Saccharomyces cerevisiae S288C: one gene and its partners. The protein of the gene in region 3 purifies or fractionates together with the protein of the main gene of each other region. This does not show direct contact. Each region holds a gene or a part of one and is shown on either strand. Other genes may lie near its edges.

Region 1 (3,759 bases), on a different chromosome or scaffold from region 3:
GGAGGAGCAATATTTAGTGACTCAGAAAGCTGCTCTAGTGATAAACAAATTGGCTCATCATTTGGAGAATCAAACTGATTTATTACGCTGCATTGTTCTAAAGAAACGTCTAACACTAATTTCCTACCATCTTTGAAAGCTAATTGTATTTCTACTTTTCCTTTATCTTTGCATAGTTGTAACTTGCGCCCAGGTTTCAGCTGTGAGTATATATCAGAATACTTCTGTAGCTCCCTTTCTAAATCTATTGGTAAATGAAATGCAAGATCATTAGAACCTTGTGTATCGCAGTTGTACTTCCAGTAGAGGAGTGAGATAAATTTTGGAAATATTATGGGATCCAGTCCGGCTACTTCATGCATTTTACGGCAGAGCTCCTCGCTACATTTTATATCCCAAAGCATAACATCAATGCTATTCAAATTCGACTGGTCTGCATCTGCTGCAGGGGCTGTTGTTTCTAGGAGTCCTAATATACCGTTTGTTATATAATTGGAATGACTTGTTTCTGTGAATTTGACTATTTTTTCTCTTATTAATTTCAAACATCGGGTCCATTTTTCATCCAACGTATAAAATTTCAAAGTGAATAATCTGTCGGTTAAGAGATTTCGAAATTCTGATATGAAAAATTCTCTTGATTCAAATAGATCCAAAAGCACCTCAAACAAATTTGTCTTAATATAACTTGATTTGATGTTACCGGGAATCATGTCATTAGGCTCTGGTACCCAAGCTATATAATAATTGAGTATATGTTCGTATAGCATGGCGTGTCTTATTGGTAGGTCCTTGTTCAATTCCCTCTTTCCTTTCACCTTGAGGTTCCATAGAAAGGGGCTTTTTTTATTCTTGTCCCTTTTGGTGATGTTCGTATCTTGATTGATATCAGAATCGTGCAAAGTGTCTACAAGTGAGAGCAGTGCCTTCATATCTACATTGAAATTAATTTTCTCCTTTAGTTCTTCTTCAGGTAAGTCCAACATTGCGTATAACAATACATTTACTAAGTGCTTCCGCTCCTGAAAGTAAGGTTTAACAAACGTGGTTATTGAATGTAGGCATCTCCCTGTTGGATCCAGGACCAAAAATGCTTTGATAGTTTTAACATATCTCAACAAAGCGTCCACCGTAGTTACGCTGGGGTTTAGAATGTATTTCTTGAAATCAGACAAAAAAGTTGTTACAATATTTGTGTAGTCTTTAAAATCTTTCATAATTTTCCTCAATTCCAATAAAGTAACCTTTGAATCAGGATAAGCCAAAACGCATATATCAAAGATTTCATTCGTTCTTATCCTAAGAAAATTGGACTCAAAACAGTTGAAAACTGTAGTGGTCAGTTCGTGATCATCCTCTGGACAACCGACTAATTTAGAGAACTGAGACCAATATTGATTAATAAATTTGTTGAATGTTTCCATAATCATAAACCTTTTATTCCATACTCTACTCATGTTATCTTCACAAAATTTATTGATTTTGCTGTAAAGAGCATTGACTATCAATTCCGTAGAGGATAAGGAACCATTAGCAGATTTGAGCCATTGGATTAAATTGTCTGCCAGGTCGAAATCATCATCCATTATTAATTTGTCTAATCTTGTTCTTAAATTATTTTTGAACTTTATATTTCTATTCAACAGATAATGTCTTAAAGAATTAAGTTCAAGTGCCCAGTCGTTTACATTTACGTCAAAAATAGGAACGTAACGTAAAGGAAACTCGTAATAATTTTCCCATCGTTGGATATCTTTTAGATAATTAATGTTGTTAAAATGTAAGAAAAAATGATAACGAACCTGGAAAATATAAAACTCTTTGAGCGTGGAAAAAAGTTGTAGTTGTAACTCTTTGTTTGTATTTCCCTCATTAACTATTGAATTGTTTGCCTGACTAGTGTTTATCATGCTATATGGCGATGTGGTTGCGTTATTAGGGAAGAGAACCTTAATGATATTCTTAATACGAAGGCTTGGAGGACGTAGTTGATGGTTACTCTTGGCATCATTAGGGCTCATCCATGTAAGTAAAGAGTTCAAATCATCGACTATGTTTGTGTGAAAGATGTATGAGGAAAGTGTTTGTAACTCATCTGTAATAACTTTCAAATCTCGAGTTGGGGTAATCTGAAATGACATGATGGAAAAACCTTAACTATAAGCCATAAATATTTACAGTCCCGCTAAGTCTGGCTTTCGTCTAGTTTTCGATATTTTGGCTCTTTTGTCTATTACTGTTTTTGTAACCAAAGGTTTGAAAATTTAGATGCAACTAATGAACTTACGCAGTAACATGCAAGTACCCAATAAAAAAAGAAATTTTTGAAGAGACGTTCTTGCATTCAGGACATGGTATGTTTTTAATTTCGTTTCTTTAGTTCTCAGGCTCTTCAAAGTACTAACACTTTATTGGCAAGGGGCGCTCAAATGTGATGCATCATTATAGAGTAATAATAAAATAAAAAGAAAGGATGCAAGCCCGGAACAAGAGGCAATTGAATCATTCACCTCATTAACCAAATGTGACCCCAAGGTATCCAGGAAGTACCTGCAGCGTAATCACTGGAACATCAATTACGCTCTCAATGATTATTATGACAAGGAAATAGGGACGTTTACTGACGAGGTTTCAACTGTGGCTCATCCACCCGTATACCCGAAGGAGCTAACACAGGTATTTGAACACTATATCAATAACAACTTGTTTGATATAGACTCACTGGTCAAGTTCATTGAGGAGCTAGGCTACAATCTTGAAGATTTAGCGACATTATGCTTAGCCCATTTACTGGGGTACAAGAAACTAGAAGAACCCTTAAAACGAGAGGACTTCCTGTCAACATGGTTTATGCAAGGCTGTTCCACCATTTCAGACATGCAAGAGTGCATCAAGACGTTAGATGTTAAATTACATGAAGACTTACAATATTTCACACAGATTTATAACTATGCTTTCAATTTGATTCTGGACCCAAATCGAAAGGATATAGATACAGACGAAGGCATCCAGTATTGGAAGCTATTTTTCCAACCAGAGTACCCAGTGCGTATGGAACCAGATTTGCTTGAGGCATGGTTCCGTTTCCTTCGCGATGAGGGGAAAACCACTATAAGTAAAGACACCTGGCGTATGCTGCTCCTCTTTTTCAAACGATACCCCACTATTCAGAAAATAATAAGCGATTACGACGAAACTGCAGCCTGGCCATTTATTATCGATGAGTTCTATGAGTGCTTACAGGATCAGCAATAAACATCCTTTCATATACTTAAGGGTATGCTGTTTAATATTGCATGGAATACGTTACCCTTCTAAGATAGATGGGAATAAGGCGGAAATAAAAAACGCGATGAGCAGTGGAAAATTTTTCAGAAATTTTCAGTTCCCTCATAATATAGATGTAGATATTGTATAAGGTCGTACGTATATCAGAGTAGCCACTAGAAGGACCAGAGAAACTGGAATAAGAGCTATTATGGTCAAATCATACCAACGTTTTGAGCAAGCAGCTGCTTTTGGTGTAATAGCCTCCAATGCCAATTGTGTTTGGATACCTGCGTCATCCGGAAATAGTAATGGTAGTGGACCAGGACAATTGATTACGAGTGCTCTCGAGGACGTTAATATATGGGATATTAAGACCGGGGATTTGGTCAGTAAATTATCCGATGGCTTACCTCCAGGCGCATCTGATGCTAGAGGCGCCAAGCCAGCCGAGTGTACATATTTGGAGGCTCATAAAGATACGGATTTATT
Region 2 (3,759 bases), on a different chromosome or scaffold from region 3:
GAAGCTGAGAAGAGCAAGGTCACCGCAGTGAGATGTAAGAAGTGCAGAACCAAATTGGCGTTATCTACATCTTTCATCGCGCATGACCCACCAAGTAAGGAATCATCAGAGGGACACTTCATCAAGAGGGCCGCCAACTCCCATCGTATTATTGATATTCAAGAGTCACAAGCAAATTGCTCTCATTTTTTCATCGAACCTTTAAAATGGATGCAACCTGAACTACAAGGCAAGCAAGAGTTAGAAGGGAAGTTTTCATGTCCAGGCTGTTCAAGTAAAGTTGGCGGTTACAACTGGAAAGGATCTAGGTGCAGTTGTGGTAAGTGGGTCATCCCCGCTATCCACCTGCAAACTAGTAAAGTGGATCAATTTCCCTTACAATCCACTGCTTTGCCCAACATGGTTAATTTTGAATCCGAGAAAGTAAATAGATAACTTAGATATAATCAGCAAATATAACTACCACTAAGCACTTTTGGTGCACTTGTGTATGTATACATCTTAATAGATAGATGAATTTTGGTGCTGAGGAGAGCATTTTTCTAATCTTGACCTCGTTGCTGCCTGGCTCGTCTCTCCATTAATTCATCTAAACTAGTTATCCTCTCCCTAGTCCAATTCCTCCAATTACTCGCTAGATCAGGTGTAATCCCACCATAAGAAGTCGGCTCTTGGCTGTATTCGCTATTATAATCATGCTCTCTTCCCACGTCATCTTCAAAATCCGGATTCATGTCCAGTTCTACCTTTGAATCTTCTCCGTCGTTATCACTGTCAATATCATATGGGTTTCTATCTAAATGATGAGCCTCTTCCACAAACTGTTGTAGGGAGCGTGACAGTGAAGTGGGTCTCATTAATAAGTCATCCGGCACAATTCTCTCTCTCTGAACTTCTATACCTTCCACACCTTCCCCCGGCACTTCTCCCTCCTCATTATCATCCTCATCTACAACATGATCGAACTCTGCATCATAATCGTATGATATTTCATCCTCCTCTGATACTTCCTCATTTTGCGAATTATTAGCACTGTTATTCGCAAGTATGGCCATACTGTCATTTGGCATGCTATGCAATCCTGTAACACCCTCACCAGTATCATATTCTTCATTTTCCTGTAGAATATGAGGCAGTATCACGCGTCCTATAGAGCCATTGTTTCTTGGATCCTCTTCTCTAGAATCGTGCTGCCTGAAGTCTTCCTCATTGTTCCCTTCCGCGTTTTGAGCTCGTGCTCGAGACCTTAGCATTTCTAATTCGTACATAGTTTTATTAATGCCTATTGGTTTGAATCTATTCCATCCTAGCTTGCGTATTTTGGGTAATCTACTTTTGTATTGTTCTGACAGCATTAGAAATTCGTCTAATTTGCCGTCTAGTAACTGACTGGCTGACGTAGGATAGTAAGGAAATTCATTGAACACATTATACGCTGACAATGATGGAATGTATTTCACAACTCTGGATTTCTTCCTTCTTATAAATCTGTCAAGCGAATCATCTTCATAATCATCTATGCCATTTACATGCTGGTTCTTCTTACTTCGGAGATCTCTCATGTTATATCTCTCATGCTTGGCTCCTGCCGAATTTTGATCCTTTCTTATATCATTGAATAATGATATATCCCTCAACGCTCTTGCCATTGCTTTGTCTTCTCTTCGCCGCTGTTTATGGTTGTCGGTATTCTGATGTGGCGTAGCACAGTTGAACTATTTTACGCATCCTCTAATTTACATCTTATGTGATATAATGAGCAGGGAAAAAGTAACAACAAGGAAAGACAAGTCATACGTAAAAGGTGTAAGGAAAAATGTTTATGGCAAGACAAGTGTTAAGAAATGGTCTATTTTTAAGGAGCCTTGCTCCCATAAAGATAACCGCTAGAACTGTTGCATCAGCAAATGCGGGCATTAAGAGAAAGTCAAGATTTGATAAAACAATGATCAAACCTTTACTTTTGGTAATGATATTTGGGTCGATATTAAACGCAGTAATAGCCGAGAAAAGGAACATTATTGATATGGAAAGGAAATATAAGCTAAAACTTGATAAATTGAAAGAGCTGATACGGAGGGTTCATGATAATAATGGAAAGGTAGACTTCGACGCAGATGATGAATTGAAACTTGTGAATTTGCGTTTAGGAATCGTCGGCAAGAACGCAACTGGGATGAAGGAAGATGAGACTGATATTGTGGTTCCTAAGGAAGAGTCATTGGAAGAGATCTGGCAAAGTATAATAGACGAGGCAAAAAAAGAAGTAATCGAAAAAACTCCAGATGCTGGCGTTAAGAACAAAGAAGGGATTGTCACTGATTTGAATGTTCTAAAAGATTTAGAAAAGTCGAAAAAAGAAGATGAAAAGGTTTACCTAAGTGGTGATGTCCATATGATGATGAACCAACCAGGTGATTTGAATGAAATCGCCAAAGAACATGATAAAATCCCAAAATTTCTATAGTAGGCTCTATGCATCCGGATATACCACATGTAAATATAACGCAAGCGAATAAATAATTTTACATTCACCACTCAGTAACCTTGGTCCTGCAGAAGATATTTCTATATAGTTATTACCGTATTCCATTTTTACTTATGTGCTATTATTTATATTACAGAGGGGTTTCCCTTGTGTTAATTGTTACATTTTTATCATCATTCATTTTTATAGTTTGGTTACCAGTTGCGCTTGTTTCCTGGTTCGAGTTTGGATTATCGTCCTTGAGTTCCGTTGATGATTCCTCGTTGGCGGTTCTTTCTCTTCCTGCTGTTTTTTCATCTGCAGCGTCACCTGACTCTTGTCTGGTTTCGTTAATTGAGGTCAAGGGAGAAGCATTCATTTGTGTATTAGAGTTGACATTTGTGCTGGAATTGACTCTTGGTGAAGATGTATTAGAGGGGGGGTGTCTGCTCATATGAGAGGGCGTAACATTTGGTGAAGATTGTGAAGTTTTTTTAGAAGACTTATTTGGCGCAAATGGTAAAGGCGTGTTGTTGCTATTATTATTAGCACTATTTATGGCTGGACTTCCCTGCGATTCTAGTTGTGTTTGTCTGGAAGTGGGGTTTACTGGCGTTGTTGTACTGGTCGTACCGTTGGGAAAGGAGTTTAGTTGTTGCAAGATTTCCTGGGGCAAATTCTTCCACTGGTTTAAAGGAGATCCTTGCTCGGTCATGGCAGGTGATCCCACGTTAAATTGTATTGGGATTTGCGATTGTACACCTGACCTTTGTGGGTTAACGGAATTGATGTTAGAGTTAGGGCTCACGACCACCGGTTCATCGGTCAGAAGACCAGGAATTTGTGCAAATAGTAAATGCATATTATTCAAAGCATTCGATAGTTTATCAAAGTATTTGGAACCTATCTTCAATACCCAGGTATAATTTCTAACATAATCTCTGAAAATCATAGCCTCTTCCTTCGTAGCTGAAGTCACATACAGCAGGGCAGCAAATGTTCCAATTAGCATCAGATTTCCAGTTGAGCAGTTATACCAAAAAGCATTAATATGTTCGTTTTTTAGATCTCTTATAAATTCAATTGCTGCTACAAGCCTGGTTCTTGCAGCAGTCCTGCATACTTGAACCAGTTCCTTTGGAGTTTGAGGATTCAAGGCACAGATAATTTTCCTATGTAACGTAATTTCCGTGGCAAAATAAGCTAGAGTTAAAGTTGAATTTGAGTTCAATTTTTGTGGCGTGGCATAACTCATTGACAAATTCTTGGGTAGGGAATGGTACCATTCTCTT
Region 3 (3,759 bases):
TTTGCAATGATAGCAAATTACCTATACAACACCATGTTTCGGGCTTATTAGGCATTGTATCCATTAGCCCATTTGCCAAATTTGAAGATTTAACCTTGTCATGCAAATGCCACAGCAAAGTAGAAAAAATTTCCATATCTTTTACCCTTGCCGGTTGTAGGTCTTTCAATCTATTGAAATACTTTAAGGACATATCATAATTAATGATCTCAAAATGAAGTTTTCCTAATTGCACTAGACACCATGGCATTGTGTCTTTAATATGAGATGGGATTTGAGACTCGAACAGTCTTATTGCCTTGAACGAATTGTATTGTGATGACGACCTTAATATTAAAGCGAAATTATACATGATTTCAGGCAGCGTAATTGAATAATCACTCGTTAGTATTGAGTTACTGATTATTAAAGACCTTGGATTTTTCTTGGAAGTTGTTAACCTTCCTGTTGAGGAATATAGGTTTCTTGGAGTTTTGAAAGTTGTTTTATTTATAATGTTATTATTATTATTATTATTATTATTATTATTATTATTATTATTATTATTATTATTATTATTATTGTTATTTTGGTGGTTCCTATCGTTATTTAACAGTTTCGATGGAGGAGTCGTTAAAAGTTTGTTTCTGTTATAAACTTTGGCCAACGAGCTTATTGTAGGCTGTTTGGAGGATGGAGACACTAAGTTCATGGAAATGTTATTTGGTAGCGCAGAAGACGTCTTACTGTTGATTGCAGGGTTTTTAGGAGTTTGAGTATTTTTGTTCTGGCAGGTCCTTATTGATGTGTTCGCTTGTTGCTGCTGTGACCTTGAGAAATGCTGAATGGAAGAAAAAGAAGATGCCGATGTAGAAGGGGGAGAATTAGACGACTGAAACAGTGTATTAACATTATTATTGATATTATTATTGCCGTTTTTGTTTGTTTTTGAATATAAGCTAGGTTGTGAACGAGGTTCGAAATGCGATAGTGATGTAGACGGAAACGATGAAGCTGCATTATTATTATGACTATTACTTTTTTTCCCTGCAATGTCGAAAAAAACCCTCTTGAGATCCACGGTAGCTCTCATTTTACAAATCGCTTCGTAAGATTCCCAAAGGTAAGGATTAATGGCTAATGCTTCAGAATGATAAAATGCTCCCTCCTTAGAATGGTCCAGTTTCATATAAAGATTGCCTAACAGGCAATTCAAAGTGGCCAAATCGGGAATATGGACGAGATTAGAATTCAACACCATATTTATGCGCGTATTACTGCTGTTCGAAGAAAATACATTTATTATTGAGAGAAGAGTGAGGATAGCTTCGTTAACTCCCTGCGAAAGCTGTAAAGCACAACGCCCGAATATGTAAGCGATACCAAGATGATACTCCTTGAATTCTTTGGATATCTGGAACGCAGTGTGGTAGCTTTTATTCAGAAACAGCGAAAGTGCATATAAATATACCGCATCGGACCAGTAAACACTTGATTTATCGAGAATGGAGCATTCAGCATAGAGCAGTTCGGCCAAAAACTCTGCGGTACTGTAGTTCAACTGCTGAATAGCCTGCTGAATGCAGTCCTGAAGCTGTATGATGGTGCTCAAAGCTTGATCATCAAAGCTGGGGATTCCTCTCGAGAGGGTGAACGGTGCTAACTCAGGATTTACCGCCATGCTATTTTTATTATGTATCCTGCACGAAAAGTTCGTGTCGATTTATGAATAGATATGCAGTCACCAAAACAGAGTCTAAAACTCTCACAGCTAGGTATGGTTTTTTGATAAACTTTTCTGTGGCACCTTTGCTTGCACTTTGATCCTTTTGGTTTACTTTCAGCCTGTTCCATCCTTTTGATCAAAAAAAAAAAGGAAAATCAAGCGCGGGTAATAACGGCACCATTAAATACTAGTAGTACTATATAGATGGTATAAAGAAATGATTTAAAACAATACGATTATATGATATTTATACATCTGTTTCAGTTGAGCTTTTTTTCCATAGAGCTGGTGGTACGAAGATGGCTTTTGGCGAGGGCGACCGAACCAGATAGCTGCGTCAAGGCCAATAGAAGCAACAGAACAGTATTCAATGCCAACAATAGCGTGCTTGCTTGTGAGTTTGGTGGATAGGAATTCCAGCACCACTCGTGCAAGACGTACCAAATGGGACCAACGAAGAAGGGCATTCCCGACCAAAAGATCAGTATAGGCAAAGTCCAGTGATACCAGGATAGAAACTGGTAGTGGAGGGACCTTGAAAATAGGACGCCGATGAAGTTGGATGCGATTAGAACGAATGGAATAGTCTTGGCGGGATTGGCATTGAGCACTGCATTTTTCCTCAGCGGATGGCACAGGGAAGACCATAAATCGGGCAGGATGCGAGGGTATCTTGTGACGAACAGTGTGGTGAGCGCTATCAGGTGGCTGATTAAAAGGGCCAAGTGGAACCTCTTATCATTGAAAGCCTCTTCATCCATCATTTGCCAATTGATACTCCATTGGTACATAAACTTCCTGCCGAAATTAAAAGCGCAATGCAGGTACTGTTGCGGAAAGCTGCGCAGGAAGGGCACTGCAACTGCGACTTGCCATGCAATCATCGCAACGAGATCCAACAAAGTAAGGATTACGTTCGCGTCATTAAGGATGAATAGAGAAATCATCATTGCAGGGAAATACAACAGCGCATTCATCTTAATGCTCACAGCCATACTGTATGTTGCGGAGATCACCAGCGCAAGGGACTTCTTTAATTTGGGGCGCTGATGGCACCTGCTGGCCACGATAGCCCCCAAAACCGTGACGACCATAAACAAAGTAGTGAAGCAATCATTGAATAACCGTAGCACGTAAATAGAGTGCAATCTTTTAGAGAGGCACGCCAAGACCACACACCACGGTGGTAGATGTAAAAGGTAGTAACACGCCATTTGTAACGCCAGTGTAAGGAGATACAAGTATCTGAAAAACACTTGCCCGCGCTCAACGTGGTCCATTCCCTCTGTTAGCCAGTACATCATCTTGTAGATCAAGACGTGGCCTGCTGGATACACCAGCGGGCCCGTTCCACCACTCACCTGAGAGTAGTCCAGCATGCCATCGAGCTGAATCATCTCGATCTGCTCCATGTACGCCTTGTAATCGATCTCTGTGTAAGCTACCTTCTTAATGATAATCTTGCACAGCATGCTTTCGAACAAAATCAAAAGGGGCATAACGATAAGATTGGCCCTACAATCGAAGATCACGTAGCGCACACCGTCCTTGAGATCCTGCCACAGATCCAGCGGAGGTCTGACAAATTGCTTCCTTTGCAGAGACTTTTCACCTTGCGGAGACTGTTCACCTTCCATACTACTAGTATCTAACTCTTTCTCTCTCCCATACACACTCTATGATACTGTTTTCACTCCCAACTAGTGTACTGCGTTGTTCTTTAAGTTCGATAGCGAAATTTCTTTAGCTTGTTTACAGCACCCAGCAACCGCACACAGAATGTGACGGCAAATGCATTTTACATGGAAGGCTATCTACAAAACAGCAATAAAGAGTCATGTAAGATTGGGAAATCTCTAATGTGACATTCCATACTTGTTGCAACAATTTTGGGATGCTTCTGCGTCGTACGACCCTGTATTTACCTTCTCTAGCTCATCGCTTCCCAGGGTCCACGTTAATTTTTCAATTTTTTCTTGCGTGTCGAAGATTCAGGTCTCGAGAAATTTGTCAAAAATTTTTCACTAGATATTAAGAACTATATACATCGAATA

Evidence for each region.
Region 1: the proteins of CDC27 (region 3) and APC2 purify together in Saccharomyces cerevisiae (affinity purification with mass spectrometry; 9 studies listed by BioGRID, with this or other methods). This does not show direct contact.
Region 2: the proteins of CDC27 (region 3) and MND2 purify together in Saccharomyces cerevisiae (affinity purification with mass spectrometry; 5 studies listed by BioGRID, with this or other methods). This does not show direct contact.

What each region holds. Positions count from the first base shown.
Region 1 is NC_001144.5:396,179-399,937, forward strand, and holds the start of APC2 (anaphase promoting complex subunit 2), read right to left. Parts: upstream 2,142-3,759; coding exon 1-2,141. Other genes in the region: NEDD8 ligase DCN1, read left to right, coding at 2,352-2,354, 2,449-3,255; snoRNA-binding rRNA-processing protein DIP2, read left to right, coding at 3,479-3,759.
Region 2 is NC_001141.2:401,549-405,307, reverse strand, and holds MND2 (Mnd2p), read right to left. Parts: upstream 1,650-3,759; coding exon 543-1,649; downstream 1-542. Other genes in the region: tyrosine protein phosphatase YVH1, read left to right, coding at 1-435; INA22 (Ina22p), read left to right, coding at 1,817-2,467; DAL81 (Dal81p), read right to left, coding at 2,619-3,759. UniProt on the Saccharomyces cerevisiae protein: Component of the anaphase promoting complex/cyclosome (APC/C), a cell cycle-regulated E3 ubiquitin-protein ligase complex that controls progression through mitosis and the G1 phase of the cell cycle.
Region 3 is NC_001134.8:67,786-71,544, forward strand, and holds the start of CDC27 (anaphase promoting complex subunit CDC27), read right to left. Parts: upstream 1,661-3,759; coding exon 1-1,660. Other genes in the region: ALG3 (dolichyl-P-Man:Man(5)GlcNAc(2)-PP-dolichol alpha-1,3-mannosyltransferase), read right to left, coding at 1,966-3,342. UniProt on the Saccharomyces cerevisiae protein: Component of the anaphase promoting complex/cyclosome (APC/C), a cell cycle-regulated E3 ubiquitin-protein ligase complex that controls progression through mitosis and the G1 phase of the cell cycle.